Linked DNA regions of Ovis aries. The protein of the gene in region 3 binds, or shares a complex with, the protein of the main gene of each other region. Links are inferred from orthologs where the notes say so. Each region holds a gene or a part of one and is shown on either strand. Other genes may lie near its edges.

The links.
Region 1: the proteins of LMNA (region 3) and BANF1 are in contact, whole or in part, in a crystal structure (PDB 6GHD), measured with the Homo sapiens proteins. The link is inferred for Ovis aries from reciprocal best matches to the Homo sapiens genes LMNA and BANF1. Residues at the interface, in NP_001393912.1 of Homo sapiens: Ser431, Gln432, His433, Ala434, Arg435, Met540, Lys542; in NP_001137457.1 of Homo sapiens: Val11, Ala12, Glu13, Pro14, Glu83, Asp86, Ala87, Phe88.
Region 2: the proteins of LMNA (region 3) and ZMPSTE24 are in contact, whole or in part, in a crystal structure (PDB 2YPT), measured with the Homo sapiens proteins. The link is inferred for Ovis aries from reciprocal best matches to the Homo sapiens genes LMNA and ZMPSTE24. Residues at the interface, in NP_001393912.1 of Homo sapiens: Cys661, Ser662, Ile663, Met664; in NP_005848.2 of Homo sapiens: Ser264, Asn265, Ala266, Tyr267, Phe268, Val332, His335, His339, Glu415, Leu438, Asn439, Asn442, His459, Arg465.

What each region holds. Positions count from the first base shown.
Region 1 is NC_056074.1:40,528,155-40,531,853, reverse strand, and holds BANF1 (barrier-to-autointegration factor), read right to left. Parts: upstream 2,548-3,699; 5' UTR 2,470-2,547; intron 1,778-2,469; 5' UTR 1,762-1,777; coding exon 1,639-1,761; exon of another isoform or gene 1,168-1,638; coding exon 1,021-1,167; 3' UTR 643-1,020; downstream 1-642. UniProt on the Homo sapiens protein: Non-specific DNA-binding protein that plays key roles in mitotic nuclear reassembly, chromatin organization, DNA damage response, gene expression and intrinsic immunity against foreign DNA.
Region 2 is NC_056054.1:14,870,906-14,874,547, reverse strand, and holds part of ZMPSTE24 (CAAX prenyl protease 1 homolog), read right to left. Parts: intron 1,231-3,642; coding exon 1,114-1,230; intron 572-1,113; coding exon 419-571; intron 1-418. UniProt on the Homo sapiens protein: Transmembrane metalloprotease whose catalytic activity is critical for processing lamin A/LMNA on the inner nuclear membrane and clearing clogged translocons on the endoplasmic reticulum.
Region 3 is NC_056054.1:106,135,933-106,140,252, forward strand, and holds the start of LMNA (lamin), read left to right. Parts: upstream 1-1,385; 5' UTR 1,386-1,594; coding exon 1,595-1,950; intron 1,951-4,320.

The DNA.
Region 1 (3,699 bases), on a different chromosome or scaffold from region 3:
TTGAGGACCAGTCTGGCTACTTCCCAGTAGTAAGTCCATGGAGTCAGCCTGACCCTCTAGTTTCATCTGTGGAAAACAAAACTAACACTTATTATGAATGAAAAAAAAATGTTTACACAAACCTTAGCTCTGAACCTGGTTCATAGTAAGTCCGATAAACAGATGATGAAGATATACCAAATACAAGTGTAACTCACTCAAGCCTGCCCACCCAGTTGGGTTGCCCACACACTTTCTGCCTCCCTGAGAACAGGGCGGACTGCATGAGCCCCGCCCACTCATCCCAGAGACCAGGAGAACACATGACCAATGGCAGGTAGACCTCAGTCCACATCCCATCCACCCTTTTCCTGCTCTGACTCCCTCGGACTTTCCACCAGGTGCTGACTAACCCAGCTGTTGACCACACGGATGTCTGGATCCCAGGAAGGAACCAACCCACTCACTCTCCCACGTTGGTGAGGGATTGAGACACTTCAAGGCACCTGCCCAAGGCCCGTATTGCCAGGATGGCCGCCCTTGGGAGTGTGAGGGAAGCTGCCAGTTTCGATCTGCACTGATAAGCAGTGTGGCAAACCTGGTCAGTCCCTGGGGAACAGGCAACTCCCAGCCTGCCTGCTTCCCACATACAAAGCCCAGTCATGAAGGCCACTGGCTTTATTGATTTATAAAACTTTACAAGGACAGTGACTGTTCTGCCAAAAAGACTACCAAATGGCATAAAAGAGACCACAGGTGGGGGTGGGGGTGAGGGACAGGGCCAGGAATCCACTCAGAAAAGCTGGTAATTATTGTCACGAAACTGGCAGGGAAAGGAAAAGGAAAATGCATGCAAGGGTGAGAATTCCAAAAAAGTTGAAACGGTGAGGGGAGAGAACTCCCCAAAGGCCCTGGAGTACATGGGAGGTGTGCACAACAGCAATCTCTTCTTTTGTAGAGGACGGAGGAGGAGTCCTCACTAGGCTGCAAACTCTGGAGACTCAATGCTGGGGCTTGGGATCGGGGGCTCCCCAGAGAGCATCACAAGAAGGCATCACACCACTCTCGAAGGCAGCCAAAGCAGTCCCGGGACTGCTTGGCATTGGCGCCACACGTGTCCTTCAGCCATTCCCGGAAGAGGTCTTCATCTTTCTTTAGGACCAGAAACTGGCCGAGGACCACATAGGCCTGCAAAACGGGCAAAGCAAAAGATGGGCTGCCGAGTGCTGTGTAGGACTAAGAACAAGACGACCACTTCCTGGGACTTCCCTGCTGGTCCAGTGGTGAATAATCTGTCTTGCAATTCAGGGGACATGAGTTCAATCCCTGGCCCGGAATCTACAATCCTACTTGCTGTGGGGCAACTAAGCCCGTGGGTTCTGGAGCCTGTGAGTCACAATGAAAGATCCTGCAAGCTGCAACTAAGACCCCAGGGCAAACAGAAACAAATAAACATCACGGGGGAAAAAAGGGCCACTTTCCTGTGGCTCCCCACACATGAGCCCAAGAGGCAGGGTGGGTTCTGCCCGGCTGACTCTGCCGATCACACAGGAGCGTCCACTCCCCAACAGATACACACACCCTCCTCACTCCCCAGCTGCCGGGAAATGCTGTTGTCGCGCCTCGCCCCCCTCCCAACTACAGGCAGCCACTCCACACCTTATCAAAGCCCCTTTCCTCCAGTTTCTTGCCCAGGACTTCGCCAATCCCGGCCAGGCTTCCCACTGGCTTCTCCCCCATGGGCTCTGCCACGAAGTCTCGGTGCTTTTGGGAGGTTGTCATCTCGATCAAGCTTAATCTGGGAATCCCAAGAAGAGGGAAATTAGGGCTGAAAACCAGGGAACGCCCGAAAACCCACTGGCAATCTCACAGGAAGAGAATGCCAAAGCAGCTGTTATGGGGGCTTTCTCGATTCCCCCCACTTCACAGATGAGAAAACTGAGGTCCACGCACAGTCTTTTCCTCACTGTTTAAGAGCTTAGTCTCGCCCAGTCCCTGCGGGAGCTGGGTTTTGGTACCGCCCCCGAGGAGAAACTATCTTGCCCTAACAGGCGGCGCAAGCAGGACAAAGGTAAGATTTCCACAGTACCCAGGGCCCGCCCTGAAAGTGTCAACCCTCTGTGACCTTGGCTGGGCAAAAGCAGCACTGACTCGGGTCTGGAATGGCCACTTGGCCCGAAAAGCAAACGGCGGGCCCTGACCCCGCCGCCGCCGCACAGGCTGCTCATTGAGCGAAGGCGCAGCCCGAGCGCGCACACCCGCGCTGCCAGCAGCGTCAGCGCCACACCTGGACGCCCGCCGCGCCCTACGCCGTGGACCCCGCCCCCAACGCGCCGCGCCCCGCCCCTCCCAGCGCCTCGCCGAGCCCTCTCGGAGGGCGCATCGTCTGGCCCGTCTCAGCCCTTGCGGGCCCTCTCCTCCCTGCCTCCCCCTCCTCCCCGCGCCCGTTCTGGCCTCCAGCCCGAGCCCTGTTCCGCGGCTCGCGCTCACCCGCAGCTCCAGTTCCTGTAACGGCTTCTCCCGCCACCCGGCTGCTCCCGCCGCTACCTCAGCCCACTAGAACTTTCTTCCACTTCCGCTTCCGGGTCGCCTCAAGGGGGGGGCCTTTAAAAAAAAAAAACAAAACTACATTGGGCACTTCTAGCCGCTTAGGGTCATAGAGTTGCGACACCACCCAGACCTCGAGAGCGCCCTTAGTAGGAGTTCATTTCCGGTTGCTTCGGAGGAAGCCGGGCTGCCTTTTGTAGTCTTGCTTCTTGGGAAGCATTTCCGGCCTCAGGGAACAGAAACCTGTGAGAAGAAAACTTTATTTATCTGCTGCACGGCATGCGGAACTTAGCCACTTAACCTTGGCCGACCTGGTGGTGGGAAAAATTAGAGAGACGGACAAGGGGAAAGGCGTGACCAGGAGACTTCCGGGAGAGCGCCGGAAGTACGGTGTCCGACTCAGGCCGACAGGCGTTGTCCTCCTCCCTGTCGGACTTATTAGAGTCGGACGGGAACCGGATGAGCCCCAGACCTGAGTCCAAACCGACTCCAAACGTTGTGACCACCGGCGAGTCCTTTTTCTCTGCTTTCGTTGCCTCAGCTCTGAAGTGAGTCGTGGATGAGGCGATCTCAGCGTTCTGCCTGGAGAACCGGGTCGTTCTGGCAGCTCTCGTGGGATCCGAGGGCCAGAGAGTAAGTTTGGATCTTTCCCTCTGAGCATCTTTCCATCGAGATAGGAAAGGAGGAGGGCAGGGGACGGCAACTAGAGATGACACTTCGGAGTTTCCTTTGGAAACCATCATGACTTTGAACAAACTCGGGGAAATAGTTAAGGACCGGGAAGCCTGGCGTGCTGCAGTCCATGGGGTCGCAAGAGTCGGATACGACTTAGCGACTGAACAACAGTCTTCTGAGTACGCATCAGTCGTTGTCTTGCAGTACCAGGGTCAGAAACAGCAGATGCCAAAGATCAAATCGGTCTCAATTAAGTTCAGTCGCTCAGTCGTGTCTGACTCTTTGTGACCCCATGGACTGCAGAACGCCAGGCTTCCCTGTCCATCACCAACTCCCGGAGCTTGCTCAACCTCATGTCCATTGAGTCGGTGATGCCATCCAACCATCTCATCCTTTGTCGTCCCCCTCTCCTCCTGACTTCGGTCTTTCCCAGCATCAGGGTCTTTTCCAGTGAGTCAGTTCTTCGCATCAGATGGCCAAAGTATTGGAGTTTCAGCT
Region 2 (3,642 bases), about 91 Mb from region 3:
GCAAATACAGTTACGCTTTCTTCTTCTTATCCCACTTACATCTATTCTCTCTTCAAAATATCCACGGTTTTTAGACACTGGAGCTCAGTCAAAGGTCATCAAAATTGTCAGTCATCACTCTGGTGGCAACTCACAAATGCACAGCCCCAAACTGCCTGACAACTGGATAATCAAAAGTAACTAACAACTAGCTTCTAGAATTTGTAAGAGTCAGTATAAGGAGAGGAAAATCTATGGTCAGAGTCAGCTCTCCTATTTCTATAGCTAAAAGCAGAAAACAAAAGGGGAATTTATATGAGTACTTATTTATATATCTTCTGCTTCTTAAGAACCGTACAGATGCTAACAAAGATTAAATCACAGTTATCCCATCAAGGTACGCTTTGTAAAAGAAAATCGAAACAAATATTTCACTCACCAGAGACACAACTAGCGTGAACAGCCAGGCATAAATAAAAAAATAGTCTCCCCCAATTTTAATAATGTAAAGTAGAAGTGAAGATACAGGTAATAAAATGCACTGAGTCACAACAAATTTCTTGATTGCATCTTTCATGAAGAACCCCAAAGTCTGAAAATATAAAAAGTCATCACAAGAAACTAAGAAACTGCTTTTTAAAATAATCAGTGAATAGAAAGGATACATTATTAAAGCAATTTTAAAAATGAAAAGGCAGTCATATAAAGACTATATGACAACAGGCAGCCTAAGACAATACATCAATGCCTTGCATTTTACAATTTAAAATAAACTTGTTTAAATGTTATTAGCTAAAAAACACTAGATGTTAGTAGAAGAGTTTATGGCAAGACCTTAAACTATGATCTTTACCATATCTGCAGTTCCTTTTTTCTAGATTAATTCATGCTGTAAAATAGCAAATTGTTGTTGTTGTCAGTCACTCAGTTGTGCCCAATGGGGTCCAGTTTGTGACCCCATGGACTGTAGCCTGGCAGGTTCCTCTGTCCATGGGATTGTCCAGGCAAGAATACTGGAGTGGGTTGCCATTTCCTTCTCCAAAACAGCAAATTATGTTTTAATTACTACCAGCAGAGGACAAAAGCACAAAAGATCTTCACACTGAAAAGAGAACATTGTATTCTTTATTTTACCTGTTGATTGAAACCATGTTTTTCTTCTATCACAAAAGTATTATAAAGACTCCATGGCAAACCAGTCAATGCACTGAAAAGTGTAGCCAGCAGCAGAAACACCAAGGACTGAGTGATCTAAACACAAGAGAAAAAAGGCAGTTTTTAAATATTAATTGATTCCTCAAACAAATTGCTAGGCAACAAGTCAATGAGTATACACTAAGTATAACTAGAGCAATGTGCTTGATTCTATGGCTAACACAAGGTCTAAAACATCACCTCCACCCTCGGCTTATTTGTAAGATGGGGAGGCAATAAAATACTTCTTTAATCACACAGGCACCATATGAAAGTTAACTTGAAGTCATACAGACAAAATGGTTAAAAGAACTTAAAAATGAGAGACAGCCACATATGCTGATGAATTCAGGAGGCTTACAAAGCTGATGAGACTGGGAGTGCTACTCTGAAGAAAGAGATAAATTAGTGGAACAGAAGAGACAGAGGAATTCCACAGAATCTGTAAAAGCAAGGAGAAAGAAAAGAGCACTCTGAAAGCAAAAGATGACAAGACGATGGGCCTGGAGAAACACAATGGGGCATCAGAAAAGCTGGGCCAGGGCAGGTGGGGCAGAGTGTGCTGAAATTTTCACAGAGCCCAAATCCAACAGAGACAGTTGTTCTCAAGGATTCCTTTCATTGCCTTTACAACAGATCCTTAGGAAATTAAAAGCTAAGAACTGCCTCATTTCTCTCACAAATGTTTTCCTAAGACAGTGGAAGACAAGGACTAATTAGCACAAAGGGACTTGTGGGGATGGGGAAAGGGCACTGAAGCAAACAGAACCCTCTCTTTCCCTCCCACCACATTATCACTCCCCCTCTTCCTCCCCAGTGGACAACTGAATTCTTTTTTAAAAAACATTAATTAATTTTTTGCTATGCTGGGTCCTCACTGATGCGTGAGTTTTTCTCCAGCTGCCGTGAGCAGGGGCTACTCTCCAGTTGCAGTGTGCGGGTTTCTCAATGCAGGGGCTTCTCTTGTGGAGCACAGGCTATAGGGCTTGCAGGCTTCAGCAGCTGCAGCAGGCAGACTCAATAGTTGCAGCTCACTGGCTCTAGAGTACAGGCTCAATAGTTGCGGTACTTGGGCTTAGTTGCCCCAAGGCATGTGGGATCTTCCTGGACTAGGATTAAACCTGGGTCTCCTACACTGGCAGGCAGATTCTTATCCAATGCGCCACCAGGGAAGCCCCTAAAACTGAATTCTTTTAGATGGGAGTATACCACCAAAGCATATTTGATTTGTCAGTAAAGATGTAGCCACTATGTTTCTAAACATAGAAAAAGGGAGAAGGGAAGAGGAAGAAAGGAGATTTGGCTACAACATGCAGGTGATTCATTTCAGCATTTGTCCCCAAATGGGAAATGAGATATTAAAAAACAAACAAACAAACAAAACAGATTCCAGGACCTTCTTTAAAATTACTGAGTCAGAATCCCATCTTCAAAAAATATAACCATATTAAATAACAGCGAGTAACATAATCTTGGTATAGGATATGCTTGCTGCAACTTCTGAAGCTCAAAAGCTCCAGAGCCCATGTGCCACAACTAGAGAGTCTGGGTGCTGCCAAAAAGATCCCGTGTGTGATGTAACCAAATAATTAATTAATTAATAAGTCTAATTCCCTAATCACTGGGCTTATTTCCCCCTTAAACACTATGATTGCAAGGGTGTTTTAAATTATTTTGCCTTAAACACTAAAACAGCCAGCACCATTCCCTGACTATTATCAATCCCTCCCCTTCCAATCCATCCTATATACACATCAGATGAATCTAAAAATGCAACTTCTCTACTTAAAAAATTTGTAATGGCTCTAAAAGACTGCAAACTCATTACGCTTTTAACGATTTTCATAATCCAATCCCCAAATGCTACTTTTCACTACGCTTTTCTAAGACCCTTCTACTCCTAACAGATAACTGTAAGCTAGCGTTTAGAAAGATGATTGAGTTAAGGAAGATATTAATACTCTAGTTGAAAAAAGGAGGTGTGACAGTCACACTGGGAAAACTGGAGAATACACAAACACTCAGGACCTTTTCTCAGAAGAACCCTAATTCTAACTCAGAAAGGAGAAAACATCTTAGAAACAAGATCTACTGGGCAGTGAGGGGAAAGGGTTTTGACTTATAGCTTCTCAAAGGCAACAAGATCTGGGCTCTAGCCCCATAAGTGAATAACTTAAGGTTCCAGGACACAGAACATTATAAAGTCCTGAGCCACGAGGGTGGAGTGATCCAGACCAAAATGGCCTGATGGCACACTTCACCTCTTGTCTGAGATGAACCTACTCATTCCAGCTCATATTTATAACAAGGGAACAGAACTCTGGAGCATTCTGAGTCTTTAAGTTAAGCACTTGCTGGAAAAGGCTGGGCCAAATCTCACTGCCAAAAAGTAAGGACGCTAATTATGAGGCCACTTGTTGGTATTCTTGAAAGCAGAAAAGTGAGTGCAAGTCACTCAATCGTGTCTGA
Region 3 (4,320 bases):
GCACATGGGTTCTGGAGCCTCAGCCTCTGCCACCTCTTAGAGGTGATGAGATGAGATGGTTGGTGGGGCCGGGGCCCGGATGGGAATGGGGAGTAGGAGGCTGATTAAAGGGGTCTCCCGAGAGTCCTGAGGATGGAAGCTCAGGGACGTGGATGATCCTGTTTTGTGAGAGGGCCTGGCCCCTCCCCGGAGCCAGTGGCAAAGCAGACCTGGTCAGAGAGGAATGTGGAGATAAGTGCGGTGCTGGCCCAGCAGTCAGCAAGGCTATGGGCGCCTTTGCTGTCTTCACCCCCATCACCCCCCTTTTCTGGCTGAAACCAGGATAGAGACCCAAAATTGGCTGTCCAGCCCCCAGCCCTGCTCCCCCTTTCAGGCCCCTTTGGGAACCACAAAAATTTGGGACCTGGTGTCCTGGCAATGTGATGAACGCATGCACAGCTCTGGTATCTGTTTTAAATTATCCATTAAAATAAGTACAGTCCTGGAAAAAAAAATAAGTACAGTTCTGGGGTTGGTGGGCTGGGCTGGGCTGGGCTGAGGACTAGAAAGGGACCAAAGCTGGGAGGAACCTCAGGCAGGCTCTTTTTCTGACTGCTGGGGTCCAAAGGAAGGGGATGGGGTGGGCAGTACTTGGGTCCTATTCTTGACCTTTTCTGGGGCCTCGGGGTTGTTCTTTGGGTCTACGATCCAATGGTTGATTTCAAAGGGAGATTAAACTGGGGCAGAAAATAGGAAAAGAATAACCCCAAACTCTGGTCCCCACCCTGAATTTGAGGGTGTAAAAGGAACTCAGGATCCAGAACTTTGTGGCAGCTCTCCCTCCAACCACCCCAGGGAACCCAGGCATATTTCCCCACCCCACCCTGGCATACTGAGATGTGGCTTTGAATGGACTGCCCACTCATGGAGGTGGGGGGTGGGGGAGTAGGGGTGACTCACTATTACTATGGGGAGGAAAAGGGGGGCCAGTGGTGGAAGAGTGAGTCACCCTCATGGGCACCAGCCTCAGCCTCCCCCCACTTTCCTGGATCTGCCTGCCTGGCGCCCTCCCTTGCTTTGTGCCTACTGCCCCTCTTCCCCCTGCCCTTTGCCCACCCAGCCTCACCCCTTGGCTCTGCCCATTTCCCCCTCTAAGGCCAAAGGCAGTGGGGGCAAGCTTTTAGCTTGGATCGCTGAGCAGGTAGAGACCTAGAGACGAGCTTCAGGGAAGCCCCAGGCACGTGGGGGTGCCTGAGGGAGGGTGGGGCCCTACCCCGGGGCTGTCGTCTCCCCTGCTCACCCCTCCCTCTCCCACCCCTGTGGGTTAGCGACGGCCCCTTTAAGAGAGTGGCCCCTCCTCCCATTCCCTAGACCTATTAGAGCCTTTGCCCGGGAGCCGGTGACTCAGAGTGTTCGCGGGAGCTCCGCATCCACACCGGCCAACCGAGATCCAGAGGTCTGACAGCGCCCGGCCCAGATCCACAAGCCTGCCAGGAGCCAGCCGAGAGCCAGCCGGCCGGCGCGCTCCTACCCCAGCAGTCTCTGTCCTTCGGCCTGAGCCCCGCGTCCTTCCCGGGACCTCTGCCCCTCGGGCAGTGCTGCCACCCTGCCGGCCATGGAGACCCCGTCCCAGCGGCGCGCCACCCGCAGCGGGGCGCAGGCCAGCTCCACCCCGCTGTCACCCACCCGCATCACCCGGCTGCAGGAGAAGGAGGACCTACAGGAGCTCAATGACCGCTTGGCTGTCTACATCGACCGGGTGCGCTCGCTGGAAACGGAGAATGCAGGTCTGCGCCTTCGCATCACTGAGTCTGAGGAGGTGGTCAGCCGCGAGGTGTCTGGCATAAAGGCCGCCTACGAAGCCGAGCTGGGGGATGCCCGCAAGACCCTCGACTCGGTGGCCAAGGAGCGCGCCCGCCTGCAGCTGGAGCTGAGCAAAGTGCGAGAGGAGTTCAAGGAGCTCAAGGCGCGGTGAGTGCCCCAGGTGGCGGCGTGGGGCCGGGAGGGGCAGTGAGGGCAGAGGGACTGCCGCCCCTGCCTGGGCTCCAGGCCGTTGGTAACGTTGCCGTATAGTTTCCTCCCTCCCGGAACTGCCCCCAGCGAGTGCCTGGCAGTGCCAAGGGAAATTGTCAAGACAGGACTGAGAAGGGAGAGGTCTCTGGGAGAGGGTGGGGTATATAAGGAATGGCGGGGTTCATCAGGGCCAAGTAGGAGCTGGTGGCAGGCCCGCAATCTGTCAGGGTGGGATTTGCCAGTCATTTGGGGCCTGAGAGAGGGCCTTGAGCAAAGCCGAACTGGCCTTGCCAGGTCTAAGACATCTAGGCGCCCAAGACACTTAGGAGTGGGTGAGAGGGTCCTGTTGGAACTTTCTTGGCAGCCTTGGCACCGTGCCAACCTTGCCCAGCCTGTCTCTGAAGACATGACTCCCACTAAAACAGAGCTCCTAGGCTGGGAGATGTCTAGTGGTGCCAGAGAGAGGTCACCAAAGCCGGGTGACCCCCTTTTCCCCCTGCAGGGGCACAGCGATGGCCCCCACTGCACAACCCTTTCCCAGGCTCTTGTTAAGAGTTTTGAAGTGCTCCTTTACTCCCTGCATGTCTGGGACTTCCCCTGGCCTCTGACAGGCCCACCGATCAACTCTAGGAGAGCCGCTCCCCCGCAGCTCCCACAGCCCTTGGCCTGCTTGGCCCAGGAATGCAAGGGAGGGAGGGAGACGGAGGGCAGAGGCTCCCGGCTCAGGAAGTTGTGTTATGTATGCCCAGGTCTGTACCTCCCCTTCCCCATCTCCCCACCCTCACCCTCTGCCTAGTCCCTCCCTGCCTCCCTTCTTGGGGTGAGCCACTTTCATTTTCCCGGCCAAGCCTAGCAGCCTCTGCTCTGGCCGGCCCTCTCAGCCACTGGGACATTTTTTTTGTTATTGTTCTTTGCCTTATTAAACTCCTGGAATACTGTGACATTTTTGAAATCCAGCCGTTGGAAGACTCAGGCCCCTCCTACCTTACCCATCCCTGCCCCACCCTACCGCACCCTACTTGTCTCCTCCCTCTTCTCTGAAAAGGCCTTTGGAGCTGGGAAGTTTAGGCCCTCTTCAGCTCCCCAAGGATTTGTTTTCTGAGAAGACCTCAGCCAGAGAGCACTAAGGTGCTTGGAGACCCCTGGCTGAGGCTGTAGTGGTTGGTCTTCTCTTCTTCCCCTTTGCGTCGTCTTCTCCAGGCTCATGCTCTTCTCAGAAGCGCTGTGAATTTGCTACTCTTTATACCCCTTCGCTAGCCCCCAGCCCCTGGCATGGTGGGTGTGGCAGATGTATCATCCCCTAGTGAAGAGTAGATGGAAATGGTGTGGGTAGGCAGGTGACTCTCCCCCCCACCACCCCCCGCACCCCCAAGCCCAGGCTTGCCAGGGGTCAGTTCCCTGATCAGACCAGGGATCCAAAGCCAGGAATCCTAACCATTAGGCCACCAGGGAACTCAGAGTGACTATTTCTGTTGAAAGGGATCATTCCTGTCATTGTCCACTAGTGATATGAATAACTTAGTTAACAGGGCAGACAAGAGGCAAGCTAGGGGAGTCCCAGAGAATTAGTCTTCCAAACTAGCTTACCCAGCTACCGAACTACTACCTTGCGGGTCCCTGCCAAGGGCATTCTTAGCAGGTCTTTTTCTGGGGAAGGTTTTGACCAGGGAACAGAACGAGTGGAGTCTATGGTCTCTCGCTAACCCAGCCACACCAGTCTGTCTCTGCCTCCTGGTGCAGCTGTCCCGGTCTGGGACACCAGGCGGGTGTGTGCGCACGTGGGACAGGGCCGGGGGTGGTGTGTGTACTTGTTATATTTAGCTGCCTGCCTCTCCTCTCCCCCACTGATCCTGGCTGGGGGTGCTGGGCTTCCGGGAGAGGGGGGGTGGTTTTGCACACCTGGATCCTAGGCTGATAGGAGGTTGGGCGGAGACAAAGAGGGCTCACTTGAGGTTTCTGTCCCCTTCTATGTCCCCAGTGGGAGGAGCAAGGATTTGTTGCTCCCTTTTGTGTCTGCTTTGCTCAGGGTGAGGTGAAGAACGCCATGAAGAATTTGGGAGAGGAAGAAAGGCATTGTCCTAACTCCTCCCACTAAAGCCTAGAGAGAAGGTGTTGTCTGGTTTAATGTTTAATTAGAGCTCAGAGTTCAGGGCCAGGCTTTGGGTTGGGATGCAGAGCTGTCTGTAAGGTTTTGTGGCGATTCCTGGCCCAGCCTGGGTACCTTGACCACACCCAGGGCTTTGGGGCCCCCTCTCATCAGACTGGGTTACAGGCTCCAAGCAGAAACACTGCTCCTGCCTGCAAACACAGACTCACATCCTTTATTCT